3 linked regions of the Macaca mulatta genome follow. The protein of the gene in region 2 binds, or shares a complex with, the protein of the main gene of each other region. Links are inferred from orthologs where the notes say so. Each region holds a gene or a part of one and is shown on either strand. Other genes may lie near its edges. The genes, in order: FBXL17, BACH1 and FBXO22.

Region 1 (3,749 bases), on a different chromosome or scaffold from region 2:
ATTCCCCTACAGGCAGATGGATGAAAGTTATGTGGATTATATGTGTAGGTAAATGTAGTTCAGGCAATGCATTTGATAGTGAATAGCGTGTATGTCTGTGAAACCTTTTGACAAATATTTGCTTCTAGAATTCCACATCACTGTCATTAGGCTCTGAAAGAAGGATCCCTGAATGTGACAGACTTAAGATTAGTCATTTCTGACAAAGAGGCCACAATAAACAAATGTTGGATAGCATGTTTGAGTGCAGACTGGGTGGCGCTGGCCACTATAGTGGTAATAGCAATGTAGGTTCCAACAGAGGTCTCTAAGTCACTGGGCCTTGAATATTGCAATACTGCTCCCTCAGTCAGCTCTCTCAAGTTATCCTTAGCAGATTTTTTTTTTAAACAGCTGCCACTTCACTTCCACCCTTCAGCAGGTAACCAAGCTCTATCTGAAGGAAAATAGAAACCATCAGAAAGGAACTCTCACCTTCCGGCTAGAAACATCCACCTATCTATATTCATCCTTTATCTACCTTTCGTCATTCTCTGTAATCACAATGAAGAAAGTGTCCTTCCTAAAGCACTCTCCATTCCACCTTCTCCTATTTCTCTCATTGGAGTCGCTCATTCCCATCGGTATTTGCTTCCTCCAATTCTTCGCTTGTGAAAGCTAACTTCTCCAGACCAGGTGCCGCTCTAGTAGCTGCCCTAGCTCTCTAGCCTCGATATAGTCAAACCTTCTAACGGACTGCCTGCACAGCTATTTCCTCTTTCTCATCCGACTCACCAAGGTTTGTCATACAGCCGGCACTGCACCGTCATGTTTAAAATATATAACAGATGGCTAGACAGCATTCCGAGGGTGCAGACAATAAAGTGATCTACAGCTTGTAGCCTGGGTGTTGGATGGCTCATTGGGTGGGGAAGCTGTTATCTTTCCACCGTGCACAGGTAATTTGATATATGCTTTCACTCTGAAATAAAGTTGTGGAAAGGCAGTAGTACGCAACAATTAATAAAACACAAGTGAGTAAACAGTGATGCCGCACAACCAATCAACCCCTCACATGACTTGGGTGCGTATCACCCACCGGCCGCATCTGCCACTCCGCCCAAGGCGCGGTCAGCACCCACGCCGGCCCTTCCGGCGGAACCCGCCTCGCGGCTTCGAAGTGGCCTGGGTTTCCGAGTCAGGGGTGGTGATATGGGTGGAAGATGAGGGGAAGAGCCGAGCGGCTACCGGCCAATGGCAGCTCTTGAACTTACACCTCGAGACGTCAGCGCGGCTGTGTAAACGGATGTCACACAGCTGGCTCGGAAGTGTCTCCTCCCGCCTTAGAAAAGCGGCGCACGCCCAGCAGCTTCGGAAAAACCTTAGGCGGCTGGAGGGAGGGGCGCGCGCCGCACCCCGCGAGCCCAGAGCTCCATACCCTAGCCGGCCGGCTTCTTCCCGTAGTGCCGTGTGGCTGCCGTTCCGGGTGAGCAGCGGGCGCTAGCGTCCCCGCCACGAGCGCGCCACCGCAACTGGCTCCGCCCCCTGCCGGAACGGGCCGCGCGTTCCTGCGGCTCCGAGCAGAGTCGCGGGCGCGCGCGCCGGCGGCAGATCCGCAGTTAAAATGGTCCGAGCGGGACCCGGCCTTGCCCCCGCTGCCGCGCTGACTGACTGAGCCGGCTGGCCGGGCCCGGACTGGTCACCTAGCCGGCAGGCTCGCTCGCTCGCTCACTCCCTCGCGTCCCCAAAGCTCGCGCCCATCGTTCTCCCGGCTTCCCTGGGCAGAGCATGTAGCCCCCGTCGGGCACTCCGGCGGCCCGCAGCTGACGCCCACCCCCCACCGTCGCGTGTGTGCCCGTGTGTGCGTGTGTGTGCGCAGGGAGGGCGACCCCGCCGCGGGCCGGGGGCCGAGCCAGCGAGCGGCCTGCCCCGCTGCCAGGAGCCCGCCTCTCTGGGTCTCCCTCCCTCCCGTCCCGGTCCCCCTCCTCGGGGTCTTCTATATGGGCCACCTTCTCTCGAAGGAGCCGCGTAACCGCCCGAGCCAGAAGAGGCCTCGCTGTTGCAGTTGGTGCCGCCGCCGGCGCCCTCTCCTCAGGCTGCCCCGCCGGACCCCAGCCAAGGTGCCCCCTCAACCGGCGGCACCCCGGAGCCGGGACTGCTTCTTCCGCGGGCCCTGCATGCTCTGCTTCATCGTGCACAGTCCCGGCGCGCCCGCCCCCGCCGGCCCAGAGGAGGAGCCGCCGCTCTCGCCGCCGCCGCCGCCGCGGGACGGGGCCTACGCTGCCGCCTCCTCCTCCCAGCACCTGGCGCGGCGCTACGCGGCCCTGGCCGCCGAGGACTGCGCCGCTGCCGCCCGCCGCTTCCTGCTATCCTCGGCCGCCGCCGCCGCAGCCGCTGCCGCCTCGGCTTCGTCGCCCGCCTCCTGCTGCAAAGAGTTGGGGCTGGCTGCGGCCGCCGCCTGGGAGCAGCAGGGCCGAAGTCTCTTCCTGGCCAGCTTGGGGCCGGTGCGCTTCCTGGGGCCGCCCGCCGCCGTGCAGCTCTTCCGGGGACCGACACCGCCGCCGGCCGAGCCCCCTACGCCCCCCGAAATGGTGTGCAAGCGGAAGGGGGCCGGGGTCCCAGCCTGCACCCCCTGCAAGCAGCCCCGCTGCGGCGGCGGGGGCTGCGGCAGCGGCGGCGGTGGTGGTGGGGGAGGGCCTGCGGGGGGAGGCGCTTCGCCGCCCCGACCCCCCGACGCCGGCTGCTGCCAGGGCCCGGAGCAGCACCCGCAGCCGCTCTGCCCCCCGCCCTCTTCTCCCACCTCCGAAGGTGCCCCTACCGAAGCTGGCGGGGACGCTGTCCGAGCCGGGGGCACCGCCCCCTCGTCCGCCCAGCAGCAGCATGAATGTGGCGACGCGGACTGTCGGGAGCCCCCCGAAAACCCCTGCGACTGTCACAGGGAGCCGTCCCCCGAAACCCCAGACATCAACCAGCTGCCGCCGTCCATCCTGCTCAAGGTGGGTCTGGGCGAGAGGCGCAGGGATGCTCGCTTTCCCCCACCCTCGGCCCCCGCCTCTGAGGCTTTCTCTCTCCTCCCCCTAAACGCGGAGGAGGGGGGTTCCCTGACAGTCTAGGGACGTCCGAAGGGGAGACTGGGAAGCCAGTGGGGCCTCTGCGTATGACCTATTTTTTGAAGTAGGAGCACTTGGAGTCTACTGAATGTCTTTTAATAGCTTGACTCTGTAACCCACCATTCAGGGTTCAGCTATTATTAGAATCCCAACCCAGTCGTTTAGAAACTTCGCAGGTATTCTGTGGAAAAGAAAAAAAAAATTAATCGGGAAGTTTATACTTAGTGGGTAAAGGCTTTGCGTATTAGTATTTGAAGGTCTTCAAACATTACTTTTATGTTTGATGATTGGTAGTTAATGTCAAACAGTTATTATTGAGCATTTACCATAATCAGGCGCTGCACCAGAACTTTATATATATAATATCCCATTTATTCCTTCAGTTAAAGCTGCGAGATAAATACTGTTAATATCTTTATTTTATACCAGAAGAAACTGACTTCTCCGTGCTGTGGGCCACTGTTTACAGTAGTGAGTCAGGCAGAAGTGGCCTTTGCTCCTGTGGAGCTGACAGTCTAGTGGGGCTTGAAGTGGTCGAATGACTTGTGCAAGGTCACATACAGAAAGTAAAGGGCAGATCTAGGTCTTGAATGAGGGAATTTAAGACCACCTGACTTTAAAACCCCTTTGTTTATGCTATGTTGTAATGCCCTTCTACAG
Region 2 (3,649 bases):
ATGTAGAAATTCTTTGTGTATGACAGGTCTGTGTGGGATGTTCCCAGTTGGATACAGTTGGATAAACTGTAAACTAAGTCTACAGTTTAGCTTGTTGCTGTCCATGCCTACTTCTATGAAACTGCAGCTACAGTTTTGGGAACAGATAGGTTGTCAGTTTTGTGGCAGAGGTCAGAGTCAATGGTGCAATACCAAGAAAATGGTAAAAAAGGCCAACCTGTGAACTGGCCATTGTTTTAAAAAAAGACCAACATATTTTATAATGGAGATATATTAATTATGGTTCATATTTTCAAATTATTGAATGAGACTTTCCAAGTAAAGCAAAGTTTGATTCATGGATTTAGGAGGAAAGGTATGTGCATACATGCATGTATGTGTGCATTCATTCTTTCTAATGTGTAAATCATAAGTTTTCAAATATTGGAAGTGTTTCATTATAGTGACAGTGTCAAAATACCTTATAACTCATTGTCCTAAAGACCTTTTTAGATTATTTTAACTAATTTAAAAATTTTAATTGAAATTTTTATTGAGTGTATTAGAGTTCTCCAGAGGGACAGAACTAATAGGATGTGTATATATATATATATATGAAGGGGCGTTTATTAAGGAAAATTGGCTCACACGTTCACAAGGTGAAGTCATACGATAGGCCACCTGCAAGCTGAGGAGGAAGAAAGCCAGTAGTGGCCCAGTCTGAGTCCAAAAGCCTCAAAAATAGGGAAGCCAACACTGTAGCCTTCAGTCTGAGGCCAAAGGCCCAAGAGCCCTCGTCAAACCACTGATGTAAGTCTAAGAGTCCAAAGGCCAAAGAACCTGGCATCTGATGTCAAGGGCAGGAAGCATCCAGCAGGGGAGAAAGGCGAAAGTCAGAAGAGTCAGCAAGTCACCTATCCCACCTTCTTCCTTCTGTTTTGTTCCAGCCTTGCTGGTAGCCGATTGGATGGTGCCCACCCATATTGAGGGTGGGTTATCTTTCCCAGTCCACTGACTCAAATGTTAATTTTCCCTAGCAACGCCCTCACTGACACACCCAGAAACAAGACTTTACAGCCTTCAATCCAGTCAAGTTGACATTTAATATTATCACCTTGATGTTTTCATGTACAGATATAAGAAACAGTGCAGAGTTCCTTTTCACTTTGTCCAGTGTCCCCCATTGATAACATTTTGCAAAGTTGTAGTGTAGTATTACAACCAGGATATTGATACAGTCCCCCATAGGGTTCAGATTGCCACAATTTTGCTTGTACTAATAATGTCTGTGTGTGTGTGTGCGCACACTCGCGCATTAAGTTCTATATAATTTTATCCCCTGTGAAGGTTTGTGTATCCACCACCATAGTTAAGATGCTCAGTTGGGTGCAGTGGCTCATGCCTGTAATCCCAGCACTTTGGGAGTCCGAGGCAGGCAGATCACCTGAGGTCAGGAGTTTACCAGCCTGGCCAACATGGCGAAACGTCTCTACTAAAAATACAAAAATTAGTCAGGCGTGGTGGCGGGCAACTGTAATCCCAGCTACTCGTGAGCCGAGATTGCACCACTGTACTCTAGCCTGGGTGACAGAGCGAGATTCCACCTCAAAAAAAAAAAAAGATACTGAACTTGCCAACACACAAAGATCCCTTTTGTTGTCCTTTTATAACCACAGACATCTCCTGCCTACACTCCATGCTCTCATTCCCTTGCCCCCTTTCTCCATCCCTAATCCATAGCCACCACTTACCTTTCTTCCTTTTCTAAAGTTTTGTCATTCTAAAAATGTTATATAAATGAAATTATGCAGTATATTACCTCTTAGGATTGATGTTGTTTGACTTAGGTGAGATTATCCAGGTTGTGTGTATCAGAAATTTTTTCCTTTTTATTGCTGAGTAGTATTCCGTAGTATGGATGTACCGTGTGTGTGTGTGTGTGTGTGTGTGTGTGTGTAGCTTTTCACCTATTGAAGGAAATCAGGCTAATTCCGGTTTTTGGCTATCACAAATAAGATTGCTGTAAACATTTGTGTACTGGTGTTTGTGTGAACATAAGTTTTTATTTCTTTGGGATAAAAGACCAGGAGTGCAGTTGCTGAGTCATATGGTAGTTGCATGTTTACTTTTATAAGAAAGTGTATTTCAAATTGTCTGTACCATTTTACATTCCCACTAGCAATATGTGAGTGATTTAGTTTCTCTGCATTCTCATTAGCATTTGATGGTATCATTGCTTTTTATTTGAGCCTTTAAAAAGCCTAAACATGGTTTAGCATGTTTAGATTTTTAAGATCACAAATATTATCTTGACCACTCTTATAAGAACTCAGTGGTTTCAAATTAATTTTGTACTTTTAACCCAGGATAGGACTTTCTGTGTACTTCAGCTGGTTCCATTTGCCTCTCATTTTAAGAGGCAGGTGTAATGTAAATGTGCAGGTTTCTACTTAAAAGTTTTGTTACTTTGAGTTCATGAATTTTTGCTGAAACAGTACTGAGGCATGATTTCTATAACTTCTCCTAGATCACTTTAAAAAATCTGTATCTTTAAAACTTTTACTGTTAGGACAGTAAAGTTAATAGTTACCAGTTAGTATGCATTTACCATGGATCAGGACTTTGTAACTTCTTTACAGGTACTGTTTTATATCCTTAAAAGTTCTGGTTTTGCAGCTGGTAGCAGTTGGGGTTGTTTGGAATACAGTGGCCATGTGGAGCTGGGCTAGCAGTAGGCTCACTATGTATGTGTGGCAGGTCGTGTTCATCCTGCTCTAATTCATAGATGATTTTTTTTTCCACTGTCATGGGAAACTTGTAATGTCTTAATGTCTTTAACTTATGTGAGTAAACCATAATTCATGTGCAATTAAGAGTGGACTCTATAAAATAGTGTGTGGTCGCTGTGAAAAGCATGCTTTTCCAGGATCCTTTCCTTTTCCATTTCTTAGAAGAATATTTTTTCTTTAAATTAAAGTACATATTTTATCATTGTCACAAATAAGTTACACATCTATTTCTCTTCCACTTATCTCATTTTTATGTACTAGACAGCTTTCAAATGATGTGTTTTTTATTTTGTGTATCAACAGGTGACAGTTAAAGGATTTGAACCTTTAATTCAGTTTGCCTACACTGCTAAACTGATTTTAAGTAAAGAGAATGTGGATGAAGTGTGCAAATGTGTGGAGTTTTTAAGTGTACACAATATTGAGGAATCCTGCTTTCAGTTTCTGAAATTTAAGTTTTTGGACTCCACTGCAGACCAGCAAGAATGCCCAAGAAAAAAATGCTTTTCATCACACTGTCAGAAAACAGATCTTAAACTTTCACTTTTGGACCAGAGGGATCTAGAAACAGATGAAGTGGAGGAATTTGTGGAAAATAAAAATGTTCAGACTCCTCAATGTAAACTCCGCAGGTATCAAGGAAATGCAAAAGCCTCGCCTCCTCTACAAGACAGTGCCAGTCAGACATACGAATCCATGTGCTTAGAGAAGGATGCTGCTCTGGCCTTGCCTTCTTTATGCCCCAAATACAGAAAATTCCAAAAAGCATTTGGAACTGACAGAGTCCGTACTGGGGAATCTAGTGTCAAAGACATTCATGCTTCTGTTCAGCCAAATGAAACGTCGGAAAATGAATGCCTGGGAGGAGTCCCGGAGTGTAG
Region 3 (3,649 bases), on a different chromosome or scaffold from region 2:
CCCATCTCTACCAAAAAAAAATTAAATTTAAAATAGATCCTTTTTCCAAATAAGCTCACATGCATAGGTTCTGGAGATTGGATGTGGATATACCTTTTGCGTGGGCAGGGGGCACTGTTCACCACACTATAGGTGGTTAGCGCCTTTTCTCTCCTTTAAAAAATAAAACGTCTGTAAATTTTCACTGCTGCTAGCGCAGCTCTGTGTAAACCAGTGTTCTCTTTTGTTCCCTACCGGGAGCCAGCTTGCACCTTGGTCCACCAAGGATTGCTGCTCAGTACATAGCTGCTTCATTATTTGTGTTCATTGTATTATTTATTAATACAAATAGTCATTTGGTTTTTTAATAGAAAAAAATTATAAAGAGTTTGCATAATGTTTGTAAGAAATGAAAAACGTGATACAGAGATAGAAGAGGATATAAAATAAGATTAAAAAAAAGGAAAATTTCATAGCTTAAGCCACTAAATTGCCCTTAAGGAGGAATGCAAGTTATTAACAGTAACATTTCATTTTGCAACATGTATAAAATAATTTGTTTTAAGGCTGTCTTTAACTCTTGCTCTTCATTTCTCTGCAGGTCTTTTAGATAACCCTGAACTTCGTGTGGTCCTTGTCTTTGGTTATAATTGCTGTAAGGTGGGAGCCAGTAATTATCTGCAGCAAGTAGTCAGCACTTTCAGTGATATGAATATCATCTTGGCTGGAGGCCAGGTGGACAACCTGTCATCACTGACTTCTGAAAAGTATGTCTTGTGTGTGTCTGATTTCCTCTGTGAATGAGGGGAAATGGTCCCAGGTTTTGTCACTTTGGGGTTAACAATTTAAAAACCACGTTTAAAGAATTGCTAAGATAATAGTTCATTCCATTTTGTAGTAGACATTGGCTAAAGGGCTTACTCAACATAATTCTGCTTACAGTTGAATAATTACATTTTTATATATATTGTCCTTTAAGAACTTCTTAGTTGGACTCACATTCTCCTTAAAATTTATTTTGACATTGCCTGTTGATCTTTCCTTTGACAAATGTGGTACTCTCTGTGACCTCAATGTGTCACCTCCTCTCTAGTTTCCTCTTTTAAAGGAAACACATGGTTCAAGTGTATCTTTATGCAAAACTTCTCAGAGCTTCTAATATGCCCAGTGCATTGGAAATCTGGAAGGGGAATAGTATTACCTGTGACAGTTCCCAAATCTGTCACAAAAAAAGTCACAAAACCTTTTTTTCCACAGAGCATCTTGCAAGTCCTACTGGTTTTTGGAAATTCTGTATTAGATCTTTTGAAAGGCTTTTTCAAGCTCAAAAATTATGGATCTTTGATTTTTGTTACTAAGGCTTTTGCTTTCAAAGATAAAAATATTTGCTCTTCTGTCTTGGAAGCCATTACTTCCTTTCCATCTTGAATGAAAGTACATATCATTTTGAGTTTGAAACCATTAGGTGGACATAAATGTCATTTGTTTCCAGCAGGCAAATGAGACCCTACCCCACCCTCAATGCTTGTAAACACTAGTATTTGTTTCCCACTCTGTTTAATATTTGCATCCTAGAGTGGTGACTTGGGGACAGACTTGGAGATCAATATCTGTAAGAATTATGTAAGTCATCCTAGTTATACTCTCTTTTCTGGTAGTCTTTGTGAGCTAGATCTGGGAAAATAGCTAAAGTTGAGGTCCCTGGACTGCCAGGAAGGAGGAAAAGAGGAAAGCCAAGTACGTTGAATCCCAGGCAGTAGAATATCAAACACTGGATTTTGTGCATACATACACCGAATTCTTGGTGACTATCTAAGTTATTTCCCCTCTTGCCTAATTTTTCCTGTATCTTTGCTGTTAACTTTTAAATTGTATACCGATAGGGCAATGGTGATTCAACATACAGTTTACCTTTGAAATGCAGGTATCTCACTCGGACTTAAAACATCTGAGGCGCTAGCTTGTTAGTACAGCAATTTGTATATCATCTACTTTTTATACCTAGTATGAGAAACACCCTCCACCCCAATCATTACTTTTCATATGACCCATTAATTTTAATGTGGTCTTCATACTCTGTCAGTGATTAAGAGAAACTGTTGAGTAAATGAGTGCTCCATTTTAATAAAGTCCAGATAACCCAACTGATCCACAACCCAAAAGGAAGGTGAATAATTCTTTGAGGCAAGATTGACAATATGTATTAACAATTCTGTACCAAAGAGGAAATGTGATAAAGTTTTAAAAGCAGCAGAGTACTTCAGAAGATAGATTTTACCCCTCACAAACTCGTTTTACTACTAGCTAGCCTTATTACCTTAGTCACTTAACCTTTTTGTGTCTTAGTTTCTCAGTAATCCAGTGAATCTTGCCCATTTTATAGATTCAGATGTTGGAAGCATGATAGAAATGTAACATACTTGTTTCTCCCCTAGTGGATGTTTACTATATTATATGCTTTATAACTTTTATCAATGTTGTATTTTCTTTTGTAAGGATATTTCATTTTTAAAAAAAACCAGGCAAATACAAAAACAAAACATGAGTTTTTACCATCAAATTAAGCTGAATTCTAGACTCAAAGCAATAAACAAGACAAAAAAATAACATATTTTCTAGTGGACTAGACATAAAGCTAAAACTTCTAGAGTTAATAGGTTTTTAAAATTATCCCCTAAGACTGGGTATAGTGGCTCATGCCTGTAATCCCAGAACTTTGGGAGGCTGAGGCAGGAGGATTGCTTGAGTTCAGGAGTTTGAGACCAGCCTGCGCAACATAGTGAGACCCTATCTCCACAAAATGTTTACAGATTAGCCAGGTGTGGTGGCATGTGTCTGTAGCCCCAGCTACTTGAGAGACTCAGGCAGGAGGATTGCTTTATCCCAGGAGTTTGAGGCTGCAGTGAGCTATGACTATGCCACTGCACTTCAGCCTCGCTAACAGAGAACCCGATCTCCAAAAAAATAAAATCACCCTCCATTATTATATTTTTAATATATGTCTTTCAGAATTTGACAGCTGAAGTGGGGGGAAAGATGTTAACAATGTAAATAATAGCAGAAGGCTTCGTTTAATGGATATCTTTGTGTATATTAATAAAATTATAACATTCCTTTTAAGGAAGTCAGAAAGGTAAGGAAACTGTCCCTTCTAATAACCAAATATGGGTTTCAGAAATTGTTATGGATGTGCATTGCCCCTTTGTATTTGTGACTGAAAAAAATGGTGGCTTCTCTTGATCTATTTTAATAGTTTGATTTTTGACCATATTTTACTCATCTGTGAGGGTGAGCCTCAGATTAACCATAGGCTGCTAAAGGCAGCAGCCTCCCATCAGTGAATCAGGAGGATTTTGCTTCTGTACTTAAAAATTTTAATGTTTCATGAGATATTGCCACTTTTCTAAATTTTCCAGGAACCCTCTGGATATTGATGCCGCAGGTGTGGTTGGACTGTCATTTAGTGGACACCGAATCCAGAGTGCCACTGTGCTCCTCAACGAGGACGTCAGTGATGAGAAGACTGCGGAGGCTGCAATGCAGCGCCTCAAAGCGGCCAACATTCCAGAGCAGAACACCATTGGCTTCATGTTTGCATGCGTTGGCAGGGGCTTTCAGTATTACAGAGCCAAGGGGAATGTTGAGGCTGATGCGTTCAGAAAGTTTTTTC

Evidence for each region.
Region 1: the proteins of BACH1 (region 2) and FBXL17 are in contact, whole or in part, in a cryo-EM structure (PDB 8UAH), measured with the Homo sapiens proteins. The link is inferred for Macaca mulatta from reciprocal best matches to the Homo sapiens genes BACH1 and FBXL17. Residues at the interface, in NP_001177.1 of Homo sapiens: Val20, Leu21, Ser23, Leu24, Gln27, Val32, Leu33, Asp35, Phe39, His48, Arg49, Ser50, Val51, Ala53, Ala54, Cys55, Ser56, Ser57, His60, Ser61, Arg62, Val64, Asn72, Thr74, Pro76, His116, Asn117; in NP_001156787.2 of Homo sapiens: Asp395, Arg421, Asn447, Gln473, Gln498, Glu499, Met524, Arg548, Cys574, Leu575, Tyr598, Val600, Ser601, Asp623, Trp626, Met651, Arg652, Val676, Gln678, Asp679, Cys680, Arg682, Thr683, Glu685, Gln689, Trp692.
Region 3: the proteins of BACH1 (region 2) and FBXO22 are in contact, whole or in part, in a cryo-EM structure (PDB 8S7D), measured with the Homo sapiens proteins. The link is inferred for Macaca mulatta from reciprocal best matches to the Homo sapiens genes BACH1 and FBXO22. Residues at the interface, in NP_001177.1 of Homo sapiens: Ser7, Val8, Phe9, Ala10, Tyr11, Glu12, Ser13, Ser14, Val15; in NP_671717.1 of Homo sapiens: Asp366, Gly371, Asn372, Phe373, Ile374, Leu375, Arg376, Lys377, Cys378.

What each region holds. Positions count from the first base shown.
Region 1 is NC_133411.1:117,243,941-117,247,689, reverse strand, and holds the start of FBXL17 (F-box/LRR-repeat protein 17), read left to right. Parts: upstream 1-1,561; 5' UTR 1,562-1,979; coding exon 1,980-2,975; exon of another isoform or gene 2,976-2,983; intron 2,984-3,749. UniProt on the Homo sapiens protein: Substrate-recognition component of the SCF(FBXL17) E3 ubiquitin ligase complex, a key component of a quality control pathway required to ensure functional dimerization of BTB domain-containing proteins (dimerization quality control, DQC).
Region 2 is NC_133408.1:18,172,098-18,175,746, reverse strand, and holds part of BACH1 (transcription regulator protein BACH1), read left to right. Parts: intron 1-3,071; coding exon 3,072-3,649. UniProt on the Homo sapiens protein: Transcriptional regulator that acts as a repressor or activator, depending on the context. Binds to NF-E2 DNA binding sites. Plays important roles in coordinating transcription activation and repression by MAFK.
Region 3 is NC_133412.1:54,044,697-54,048,345, forward strand, and holds part of FBXO22 (F-box only protein 22), read left to right. Parts: intron 1-580; coding exon 581-746; intron 747-3,395; coding exon 3,396-3,649. UniProt on the Homo sapiens protein: Substrate-recognition component of the SCF (SKP1-CUL1-F-box protein)-type E3 ubiquitin ligase complex that is implicated in the control of various cellular processes such as cell cycle control, transcriptional regulation, DNA damage repair, and apoptosis.